Oryzias latipes: one gene and its partners. The main gene of each other region encodes a partner of the protein of the gene in region 2 in a complex. Links are inferred from orthologs where the notes say so. Each region holds a gene or a part of one and is shown on either strand. Other genes may lie near its edges.

Region 1 (3,500 bases), on a different chromosome or scaffold from region 2:
CAGGAGACTTTCAAAATAAAACAGGAAACAGAAACAAGACAGAACAAGGACCAAAAACAAGACAACAAAATCAAATCATGACAGTACCCCCCCCTCAAGGAACCGCTCCGAGGTTCCAAAAGTCACATGAGGGGGGGGCCCCGGAGGATAAACCTCGACGGGCACAAGAGTCCGGAGAACGGCCGGGGGTCCGCGCCGTCCGGCGAGGCAGGTCCGGAGGACGGCCGGGGGCCGAGCGGTCCGGCGAGGCAGGTCCGGAGGACGGCCGGGGGGCCGTGCGGTCCGGCGAGGCAGGTCAGGCGTGGTGGAGTCGTCAGGCGTGGTGGAGTCGTCAGACGTGGTGGAGTCGTCAGGCGTGGTGGAGTCGTCAGGCGTGGGGGAGTCGTCAGGCGTGGTGGAGTCGTCAGGCGTGGTGGAGTCAGGCGTGGAGTCAGGCGTGGAGTCAGGCGTGGAGTCAGGCGTGGAGTCAGGCGTGGAGTCAGGCGTGGAGTCAGGCGTGGAGTCAGGCGTGGAGTCAGGCGTGGAGTCAGGCGTGGAGTCAGGCGTGGAGTCAGGCGTGGAGTCAGGCATGGAGTCAGGCATGGAGTCAGGCATGGAGTCAGGCTCCGGCGGGTCGGGCCAGCAGTCAGGCTCCGGCGGGTCGGGCCAGCAGTCAGGCTCCGGCGGGTCGGGCCAGCAGTCAGGCTCCGGCGGGTCGGGCCAGCAGTCAGGCTCCGGCGGGTCGGGCCAGCAGTCAGGCTCCGGCGGGTCGGGCCAGCAGTCAGGCTCCGGCGGGTCGGGCCAGCAGTCAGGCTCCGGCGGGTCGGGCCAGCAGTCAGGCTCCGGCGGGTCGGGCCAGCAGTCAGGCTCCGGTGGGTCGGGCCAGCAGTCAAGCTCTGGCGGGTCAGGCGTGGAGCCGAGCTCAGGCGGGTCAGGCGTGGAGCCGAGCTCAGGCGGGTCAGGCGTGGAGCCGAGCTCAGGCGGGTCAGGCGTGGCAGTGGAACCGGGGACCCATCGGGGCGCAGGCGGCACCCCCCTGGGAGCCGGGACGGGTCGGGGCGCAGGCGGCACCCCCCTGGGAGCTGGGATGGGTCGGGGTGCAGGCGGCACCCCCCTGGGAGCCGGGACGGGTTGGGGTGCGTCCGGGACCACCACTGGACATGGCTGTGGTGCGTCCGGGACCACCACTGGGGGAGGTTGTGGTGCATCCGGGACCACCACTGAACGTGGCTGTGGTGCATCCCGGACCACCACTGAACGTGACTGTGGGGGACGGCGGGGACGACGGCGACGTCGACCCCCCCTCATGGCGAGACGGCTCCCAGTTTAGTCCTGCTCTGCTGGGTCCAGAAAATTTGGTTGGTCCATTCTGTCAAGGTGCAGGGGGGCTCGAGAGCCGGTAGGACCCAGAATGCAGAGGCAGGGGCACGTGGTTCAAGGGCAAGGGGTTTAATAGTAACAAAAAGCGCTGCAGAGCAGGATGACAAAACAAAACTAAAACTTACTGTGGCATGGCGAGGGACAAGGAACAAGGCATGAACACCATAACAGGGGTACTGGACCAACACAGGAGGAAGGCAGGGACAAGACTTATATACAGACAGGGCAGACAAGACACAGGTGGACACGATCAGGGCTGAATGGGAACCAAAGGAAGTAAAACTCAAGAAACCAGACAAGACAGGAGACTTTCAAAATAAAACAGGAAACAGAAACAAGACAGAACAAGGACCAAAAACAAGACAACAAAATCAAATCATGACAGGTTCATTTTGAAAGAATCCGATTGGAACCGATTCACTGACCCAAAACGGATCCAGAACATATTCAACCAGTGTGACTCATAGATAAATACCTGGTACTGAAAAGTTCAGGTGACGTTTTCCAGATTCCTTGTATTTCTTGCAAGATAATCAAGTGTAAATGAAATATGTGTACAAACAAACAAGTAAACAGAATGAATGTCAAATCCATTCACATTTTAGTTTCCTAAAGTTCAGTCCACTGTTGTTTTTCTACATCCAAAGAATCATGTCAGTAAATGTCTGACAGGTTGCTCCAGCACATCTGGAGGGTCATCGTGATCTCACCATGAAAGTCTGGTCATCTTAGCTTTGGTCACGATCAGGTTGGAGGAGTAAACCAATTCCATCACATCCCCGATCTTAGTCACAACATCTGGCTTTATCAGAGCGAGAGTTCTGCACAGACGGAGACAGAAAACAGCTTCAGAGAAAACATCACAGCACCGTCACATAGTCTTCTTCAAGAACTCACAAAATGAGGGGAAAGATGAAAGAAACCTTTGACATAACTTTACTTCAGCGTCCTGTGGAGATGATGTTCACCTTTCTGATTTGCGTGTTTTAATCCTTCCATTAGCTTTGAACCCTCGCCATAATGCTGCCACCACAACACTGGTATGTGCAGCTTTTAAAGGGCCGACATCTCGCTATGCTTAAGCCTTTTACAGTAAACTATATCCATGCGTATGACAATACCTTTGGTCCGCTAAACACATTTTTTGTCCCCCTGTCCCCAAGAACCCCCGCATAACTGGCCTCAATGACTACAGGCCTGTGGCACTCACGTCTGTAGTCATGAAGTCATTCGAGCGTCTGGTCCTCCCCCACCTCAAATCCTTCACCTCCCCCCTCCTGGACCCTCTGCAGTTCGCCTACAGAGCCAATAGGTCTGTAGACGATGCCATCAACCAGGCCCTACACTTCATCCTGCAGCACCTGGACTCCCCGGGAACCTATGCTAGGATTCTGTTCGTGGACTTCAGCTCTGCGTTCAATACCATCCTCCCCTCTCTGCTCCAGGAAAAGCTCCTCCAGCTCAACGTGCCTGACTCCACCTGCAGGTGGATCACTGACTTCCTAATGGACCGGAGGCAGTGTGTGCGGCTGGGGAAGAATGTCTCCACCACCCAATGCATCAGCACAGGAACTCCACAGGGCTGTGTACTTTCCCCTCTGCTCTTCTCCCTGTACACTAACTGCTGCACCTCCAGCCATGACTCTGTCAAACTGATCAAGTTTGCAGATGACACCACCCTCATCGGACTCATCTCTAATGATGATGAGTCTGCCTATAGGAGGGAGGTGGACTGGCTGGGGTCGTGGTGCAGCATCAACAACCTGGAGCTGAACACCCAGAAGACAGTGGAGATGATCGTGGACTTCAGGAGAGTCACACCCCCCTCACCCCCTCTCACCCTGTCAGACTCTCCTATCAACCTAGTGGACTCTGTGCGTTTCCTCTGCACCACCATCACGCAGGACCTCAAGTGGGAGCCATCCATCTGCTCTCTCCTCAAAAAGGCCCAGCAGAGGATGTACTTCCTGCGGCAGTTGAAGAAAGCCCGGCTGCCGGCCCAGATGATGGTGCAGTTCTACACGGCCATCATTGAGTCCATCCTCACCTCCTCCATCACCGTGTGGTACACTAGTGCCACAACCAGGGACATTAACAGGCTACAGCGTATTGTGCGCTCAGCAGAGAAGGTGATCGGCTGC
Region 2 (4,098 bases):
CCAGAGCCTGAGACCAGAGCCTGAGCCCAGAGCCTGAGACCAGAGCCTGAGACCAGAGCCTGAGACCAGAGCCCAGAGCCTGAGACCAGAGACCAGAGCCTGAGACCAGAGACCAGAGCCTGAGCCCAGAGCCTGAGACCAGAGCCTGAGCCCAGAGCCTGAGACCAGAGCCTGAGACCAGAGCCTGAGACCAGAGCCTGAGACCAGAGCCTGAGCCCAGAGCCTGAGACCAGAGCCTGAGACCAGAGACCAGAGCCTGAGCCCAGAGCCTGAGACCAGAGCCTGAGCCCAGAGCCTGAGACCAGAGCCTGAGACCAGAGCCTGAGACCAGAGCCCAGAGCCTGAGACCAGAGACCAGAGCCTGAGACCAGAGACCAGAGCCTGAGCCCAGAGCCTGAGCCCAGAGCCTGAGACCAGAGCCTGAGACCAGAGCCTGAGACCTGAGACCAGAGTATACAAAACCAGACTCTGAGACCAGAGCCTGAGACCAGAGCCTGAGACCAGAGCCTGAGACCAGAGCCCAGAGCCTGAGACCAGAGACCAGAGCCTGAGACCAGAGACCAGAGCCTGAGCCCAGAGCCTGAGCCCAGAGCCTGAGCCCAGAGCCTGAGACCAGAGACCAGAGCCTGAGACCAGAGACCAGAGCCTGAGACCAGAGTATACAAAACCAGACTCTGAGACCAGAGCCTGAGACCAGAGCCTGAGCCCCGAGCCTGAGCCCCGAGCCTGAGCCCAGAGCCTGAGACCAGAGCCTGAGACCAGAGCCTGAGCCCAGAGCCTGAGACCAGAGACCAGAGCCTGAGACCAGAGACCAGAGCCTGAGACCAGAGCCTGAGACCAGAGCCTGAGACCAGAGCCTGAGACCAGAGACCAGAGCCTGAGACCAGAGCCTGAGACCAGAGCCTGAGACCAGAGCCTGAGCCCAGAGCCTGAGACCAGAGACCAGAGCCTGAGACCAGAGCCTGAGACCAGAGCCTGAGCCCAGAGCCTGAGCCCAGAGCCTGAGACCAGAGCCTGAGACCAGAGCCTGAGCCCAGAGCCTGAGACCAGAGCCTGAGACCAGAGCCTGAGACCAGAGCCTGAGCCCAGAGCCTGAGACCAGAGCCTGAGCCCAGAGCCCAGAGCCTGAGACCAGAGCCTGAGACCAGAGCCTGAGACCAGAGCCTGAGCCCAGAGCCTGAGACCAGAGCCCAGAGCCTGAGACCAGAGCCTGAGACCAGAGACCAGAGCCTGAGCCCAGAGCCTGAGACCAGAGCCTGAGCCCAGAGCCTGAGACCAGAGCCTGAGACCAGAGCCTGAGACCAGAGCCCAGAGCCTGAGACCAGAGACCAGAGCCTGAGACCAGAGACCAGAGCCTGAGCCCAGAGCCTGAGACCAGAGCCTGAGCCCAGAGCCTGAGACCAGAGCCTGAGACCAGAGCCTGAGACCTGAGACCAGAGTATACAAAACCAGACTCTGAGACCAGAGCCTGAGACCAGAGCCTGAGACCAGAGCCTGACACCAGAGACCAGAGCCTGAGACCAGAGCCTGAGCCCAGAGCCTGAGCCCAGAGCCTGAGCCCAGAGCCTGAGACCAGAGACCAGAGCCTGAGACCAGAGACCAGAGCCTGAGACCAGAGTATACAAAACCAGACTCTGAGACCAGAGCCTGAGACCAGAGCCTGAGCCCAGAGCCTGAGCCCAGAGCCTGAGACCAGAGCCTGAGACCAGAGCCTGAGACCAGAGCCTGAGACCAGAGCCTGAGACCAGAGACCAGAGCCTGAGACCAGAGACCAGAGCCTGAGACCAGAGACCAGAGCCTGAGACCAGAGCCTGAGACCAGAGCCTGAGACCAGAGCCTGAGACCAGAGTATACAAAACCAGAGCCTGAGACCAGAGGCTGAGCCCAGAGCCTGAGACCAGAGCCTGAGACCAGAGACCAGAGCCTGAGACCAGAGACCAGAGCCTGAGACCAGAGCCTGAGACCAGAGGCTGAGACCAGAGCCTGAGACCAGAGACCAGAGCCTGAGACCAGAGCCTGAGACCAGACTGACCTGCTGCTGAACACAGACTCACCTGCTGGTGGACATGTCCCGTGTGCTGCTCTATGAACTCTGTGAAGCGGATATAATCTGAGCCCAGTTTGCAGATCCGGTTCAGGACGCTGGCCTCGCTGGGGTGAAGAAAGGGCAGCTCCTGGGACACCTGCACATCAGCATTAATGTTTCATTCTGACAGAGACCGGCAGCTTTTCACATCCATACAGTTAACCAACTCCTGCACAACACAAGATTCTAACTTCACACAAAGCATGTAGTCATTTCATGAATCTGGATCAATGATCGGGACTGGGAATGAGCGGTATTTTAGAATGACTCTGATTAGCCGTAAATAATCTGTAGCAAAGAAACATGAAGATGTCAGCAGACGTGGTTCCCTAAGGAGATGCTTCCTTCCTCCATGATGGAGCTTCTGCTGCAGGGACCACCAGCTGCTGCACAGGAGGGAGGGGCTGCGGGCATGGGGAGGGAGTTCAGGGGTGGGGGGGTCCAGGTAGGGGGTCTGCGGTGCTCGATGCAGCATTTGACTGGTCTGCAGGTTGCGGCTAAAGGAATATAATGATCACGTTTCGAGTCGGACACGTGACTTCCGTTTACCTGCAGACCCGTCCTCTTGTTCCAGGTAAAGATGGTGCCGGGGTACCCGCTCAGCGCCAGTAAGAGCTCGTGAATCATTGTATTTACCCTACGACCCCGACACTGGGCTGGACCTCTTTCATTCGGCAAAACAAACCCGCCTTCCGGTCGAAGCCTACGTCATCAACATGAACGCATGCGCAGTACGTTATAGTTTTTGCGTGTTCTTATTTCTGGAAATAATATTAAAAGTAACGTAGGAATTAAACGTAAATCCGTAGCACATAATTGTTGGAAGTGTCATTTGAAATGATGAATAAATGTAATTAAATCAGACTAACGGGAAATTTAGTTTTTTGTTGTTGTTTTGGGAAATGTAGTTGAAGAAATGCTGTCGCGGGTCTGACGTCATCACCCGGAGGTACAGCAGCTAGCAGCGGGTTCAGAGTGGAGCAGTTCAGAGGCTCCGGGCCAAGTTTAAAGCTCGGTTTGACCCACATTTAGCCCGCTTCTAAACCGGAATTCAGAGGAGGAGGGTCGAGCTGAGCCGAGTTTAAACCAGTCAGGCGCGTTTTAGAGAAGAGTTCGTGTTTAACTCGCCAGCCGGGCGGAAAGTGTCCAAAGTCCGTGTCCATCCATGTAGGCCACCGGGAGCTCCCTCCGGTCTCACCTGGATCAGGTTTGCGAGGCTCTGAGCGGCGAGGGTTCGTGGACGTGGATGGCGGCGCAGAGGGGCGGAGACGACCCGGTCTCGGAGTACCTGCAGCAGAACCCGCATTTGGCGGGGTGGGTGGACTCTCTGAGGGGCTTCTGTGAGACCAGCAAGCAGTGGTCCGCGCGGAGGGAGTTCATCCTGCGGAACATGGAGGGGCAGGGGGTCCCCGCCGCGCAGCCCGGAGCCCACAGCCCCAGCCTGGACAGCCTGCTGTCCCTGTCCATGGTCTGGGCCAACCACGTCTTTCTGGGCTGCAGGTGCGACTCTCAAACGAACTTTGGCCAGGGCTGTCCCTGTCACCGGGGTCAGCAGTGACCCGTCGCCGGGGTCAGCGGTGACCCGCCAGGGGAAGCTGCAAGAAGTGGTCTGTTAACGTACCAACACTCTGACGAATGGAGTGGGTTCACATCGAGTAGATGAGCAGTGCTTAGATGATCTTTGGTGCTCAGAGTTTAGTTTGAGCTGCAGGAGTCAGTGTTGTCATGGAAACAGAGGTGGTACTCCATCATTTCATATTAACCCTTGTGCTATCTTAGATGACCCCCCCCCCCCCCCCAACATTGACGTGTTCTCCCTACCATGACAAAGGTGGATAAAGGTGGAAAGATTTCATGTAATCCATGGACACCAGTGAAGATCACAAATCATTGAAGAAAAAAGGTTCAGAACACTGTCTAGTGGGTCTAGATGACCCAACTCCCAACGTTAAAGTGCCTAGGAGAGCACAAAGGTTAAACACGTGGCTAAGCGTTTGAGTGCCTTAAAAGAA
Region 3 (3,500 bases), on a different chromosome or scaffold from region 2:
AACCCCTTATCAGGATTTTTTGTCTCCCCTCTGAATGCAGACCTGTACGGATCCTTGATGATGCCTCTGTAAATCCACTTCTCCAAAATTTCAAAGTACGGCACGCTGGCGGCTTTAGTGAGGTAGAGGCACAGCTCCTGCGCCTGGCTGTCACCTGTGTAGTTGAAGGTCCGGTCATGCAGAAGGCTAAGCGTTGCTCCGCCCATGCACTCTCCTTTGTCCACAGAGGAGGCTGGAAAACAGCAGATTTCAATAAACCCGTCTGTATTCCTGTTTTCTGTCCTGCTTTATCTATAATTCAGAAAATCCAGAGACCACAGAGGTTGTGAAAATTGACTCAAACAGTGGGGAGAAGTAGAAGCCGACCATTACCACATATTTTGGGATTGTCCCATTATAAAAATTTTTTGGAAGGAAATACATAAACATATTGAATATATATCAAATAAGACAATACCCTGTGATTTTATCAGTCTGTAAGACACAACTCCCACCTACCAATGAAAATTTTATTCAGAATATTAATACCCACTGGTAATAAAAAGCAGTGACTAGACACTGGCTCCTCCCCACTGTACCCAGCTTGGACAATTGGATAGACATTGTAAATGAAATCTGCCAGATAGAAAGACTAACCTATTCACTTCGGAAACAGATGCCCACAATGGATATTCTATGTTAATCACTTACAACAAATGGAAGTAATGAATGTCTGGCTTGTAATTATAATCAAGTTGAATGTTTTAGTGTGTTTTTTGTTTACTTCTTTCCCTCATAATGCATCCGCTGTTCCCTGTTTTGTGTTTTGTTAGACACCAAGTTATGTTATGGAAAAAAGAAAAGAAATGTTGAGAATGGAGATATAAGTCATGGGTCCAAAATTGGACCTAAGTGAATTTAAATGTACGGTTTTATAACTTTCTCAATTTTCCTAAATAAAATTTGGAAGAAAACTGACTCAAAGCTCCCCCTGGTGGTTCAAATGAGAAGCTGCTTCTGCAAGAAGAACCTCAAACTTAACTAAAGATACAACAGTGTTGAGGGATCGGCTGTCAGTGTAGATTACACTTACACAAAGGGCAACTATTAAGGACTTTTACAACATTTGCACACATCTGAATGAGTACAAACTTTATTTGAAAGTAAAGCACGCCCGTACTTTCACGGTCACTAAATAGGTATTTTTTTATTGCATGGTTGGCTAAAAGTATTAGAAAAAAACTGGTACACTGAGCACAAATCAAACAGGATTGTGACTTTTCAAGTCCACAAATATCCTTTGTAAATGTAAACAGCAGCTAAATCATTAAGGTTTAAGTAAAGTTCGCTACAGCTTGCAAAGTGCTCACTGAGGTAACATACCTGCAATAAATTAAAACCTATTTTAGTGCCACGATTTTCTGATTTAAAAATTTAATTTAATTTAATTTAATTTAAAAAGACTGTGGCTTAAAGGCTGAAACTTACTTAAAAAAAAGTAAATGCAAGACAATGAAATGGTAAAAAATGCAACTGCATCTTTTACTAATTATAAGAATCCTTGTAAAAAGATTAAAACTTCCACAGCATGAGAAAAAAGAAAATTCCCCTGTTAAGTAAATTAAAGAAAATTGGATTGCACTTCGATCATCTTTTGATCTATTTTCAAAGTGTTCACTATATTTATGCTGCTTTTGGCCAAAATAAAAAAAAATAGGTGTTGTTTTTCTAGTTTCTGCAGAGCGGCAGGAGTTCATCAGAAACTCTCCTCTGAGTTGGGAAGACCAGTGGTGCGCAGTAAGCTTGCATTCATTTTCCATTAGTCCTCTGTCCACACTCTCTCGTGCTACCTTACAGCCCCTCAGAACCCGAGCAATCACAGATGCAAACAAAAATGGCGAGCAATGTCAGAGCTATCCAGCCGTACAATTTAGATCCAGATTCCAGCTCTGACGAGGAAAACGAAGACGTTCATGAATCTGTTTGTCTGTAAGTGGATGCATCGGAATGGAGCAGAGCAGGGAGCTTGTGACCTGTCGACTGTAGTTTGTACGTCACAACTACAAGCTTTTTTAAACAGCATTTTTTCGTCTGCTCCTGAGTCAACACAATAGAGAAATACTCTAACGATGTTTTATCTTAATTTTCTTTATTTAATGTCTTAAAAAACGACACAGACTTTTGGATTTTGGCTAAAAACTATATAATCGTAGTAAAGGACCTCCGGGAACACTTTCATTAAAATAGATCAAAAGATGACAGAAGTGGGACTTTAAAGTCTGGACATTCCCAGTCAGCCTCTCACCAATGGACGCCAAGATCTCCATGGTCCTCATGGTGGGCTGGATGTAGAACCAAAGCTTCTGCAGGGACAGCAGGCCCTGCCGCTGCAGGTGCTCCAGTTGAGTGACCAAGATGAGGTACTCCTTCATCAGGGTCCTCATCGCTGCCGTCAGAGCGTGGTTCACCTGGCCGTACTCAAAGGAGGACTTCTCTTCGATGAACCTGCAAAAGGTTTAAAACCATTTGACAATAACGTTCACAGAAATATTAACGTCTAAATTTTCATTAAGAAGATTTTCTAGAATTAAAATCATCATTTTAAAATAAAAGAGTGACTGTCCTAAAGATAGCAAATGATTGTATGGTTTTCTGCCATTTATCATTTCAATTTTCTCTGGTCTGATTGGAATTTATTTGGGTTTTAGATCTCTTTTTACATTTTAAACTTGTTAGAATAATATTTATCCATTATTAAATTAACTTTTCAAGGTTTGTATGTCAAAAATGAGTTTATTTTTGTTATTCAATATTCCAACAGAAGTTTGTCTCAAACGTGGCCCAAAAAGCAGAGATCAAATCTAAAGGATTGTCCAGGAAAGCAGAATTTGACTGTTTTTCAGTGAGAAGAGGTGAACTGAAACCAGCGTTTACCGAGTTATAGTGGAGTAATACGATGCAACAGGAAGGATTCTGTTCACCAGCTCCTTCACGGACATGTCCAGTGTCGCATCAACGATGAAAGAGCGGTTCTGCCTCCCCAGGACGGGCTGAGCTGTGATGTCCCGCCCATCAACTCCAACCAGAACAAAGAGCAGATCCTCCACCAGGGCCTGCTCCTGGGTCGCCAGAGGCAGCGTACCTGAACGGACAATGAAAGGATTAAAAGTGAAACCGGAATCAGAGGTCTGAGCAGAACGGCACTCTTACCAACAGCTACAGTCAGGTCTCCAGCTGCAGTGGGGCTTGTGATGAAGTCTCCAATGAGGGCTGGACGGTCATACACCCAATTAGGGAACACAGGGTTTGGTTGCGTGGGGTTCTTCTTGTTGTGTTTGTCTCTCAACATCTTCCTGGTGACTTCAGCGGGCTGCAGAAACAATGATGAGCAACAGCAGCATTTACCAAAATACAGACTTATTTTAAAAAGACTGAAAGAAAATGGGAGAGTCAATCTTTTTTTCCATGTATACATATTTCAGGCATGCTGTAAGAAAATTGAAAACTCTTCACCAGTGGGG

Evidence for each region.
Region 1: tubgcp4 (region 2) and nme7 share a complex: the UniProt entries of both Homo sapiens proteins name them as parts of the gamma-tubulin ring complex. The link is inferred for Oryzias latipes from reciprocal best matches to the Homo sapiens genes TUBGCP4 and NME7.
Region 3: tubgcp4 (region 2) and tubgcp2 share a complex: the UniProt entries of both Homo sapiens proteins name them as parts of the gamma-tubulin ring complex. The link is inferred for Oryzias latipes from reciprocal best matches to the Homo sapiens genes TUBGCP4 and TUBGCP2.

Annotation. Positions count from the first base shown.
Region 1 is NC_019862.2:27,538,141-27,541,640, forward strand, and holds part of nme7 (nucleoside diphosphate kinase 7), read right to left. Parts: intron 2,181-3,500; coding exon 2,070-2,180; intron 1-2,069. UniProt on the Homo sapiens protein: Possesses an intrinsic kinase activity. Displays 3'-5' exonuclease activity with a preference for single-stranded DNA. Does not seem to have nucleoside diphosphate kinase activity.
Region 2 is NC_019861.2:4,196,712-4,200,809, forward strand, and holds the start of tubgcp4 (gamma-tubulin complex component 4), read right to left. Parts: upstream 2,801-4,098; 5' UTR 2,714-2,800; coding exon 2,636-2,713; intron 2,184-2,635; coding exon 2,055-2,183; intron 1-2,054. Other genes in the region: protein CDKN2AIP homolog B-like, read left to right, coding at 3,333-3,586. UniProt on the Homo sapiens protein: Component of the gamma-tubulin ring complex (gTuRC) which mediates microtubule nucleation.
Region 3 is NC_019877.2:19,482,281-19,485,780, reverse strand, and holds part of tubgcp2 (gamma-tubulin complex component 2), read right to left. Parts: coding exon 3,493-3,500; intron 3,350-3,492; coding exon 3,190-3,349; intron 3,122-3,189; coding exon 2,914-3,121; intron 2,485-2,913; coding exon 2,285-2,484; intron 233-2,284; coding exon 43-232; intron 1-42. UniProt on the Homo sapiens protein: Component of the gamma-tubulin ring complex (gTuRC) which mediates microtubule nucleation.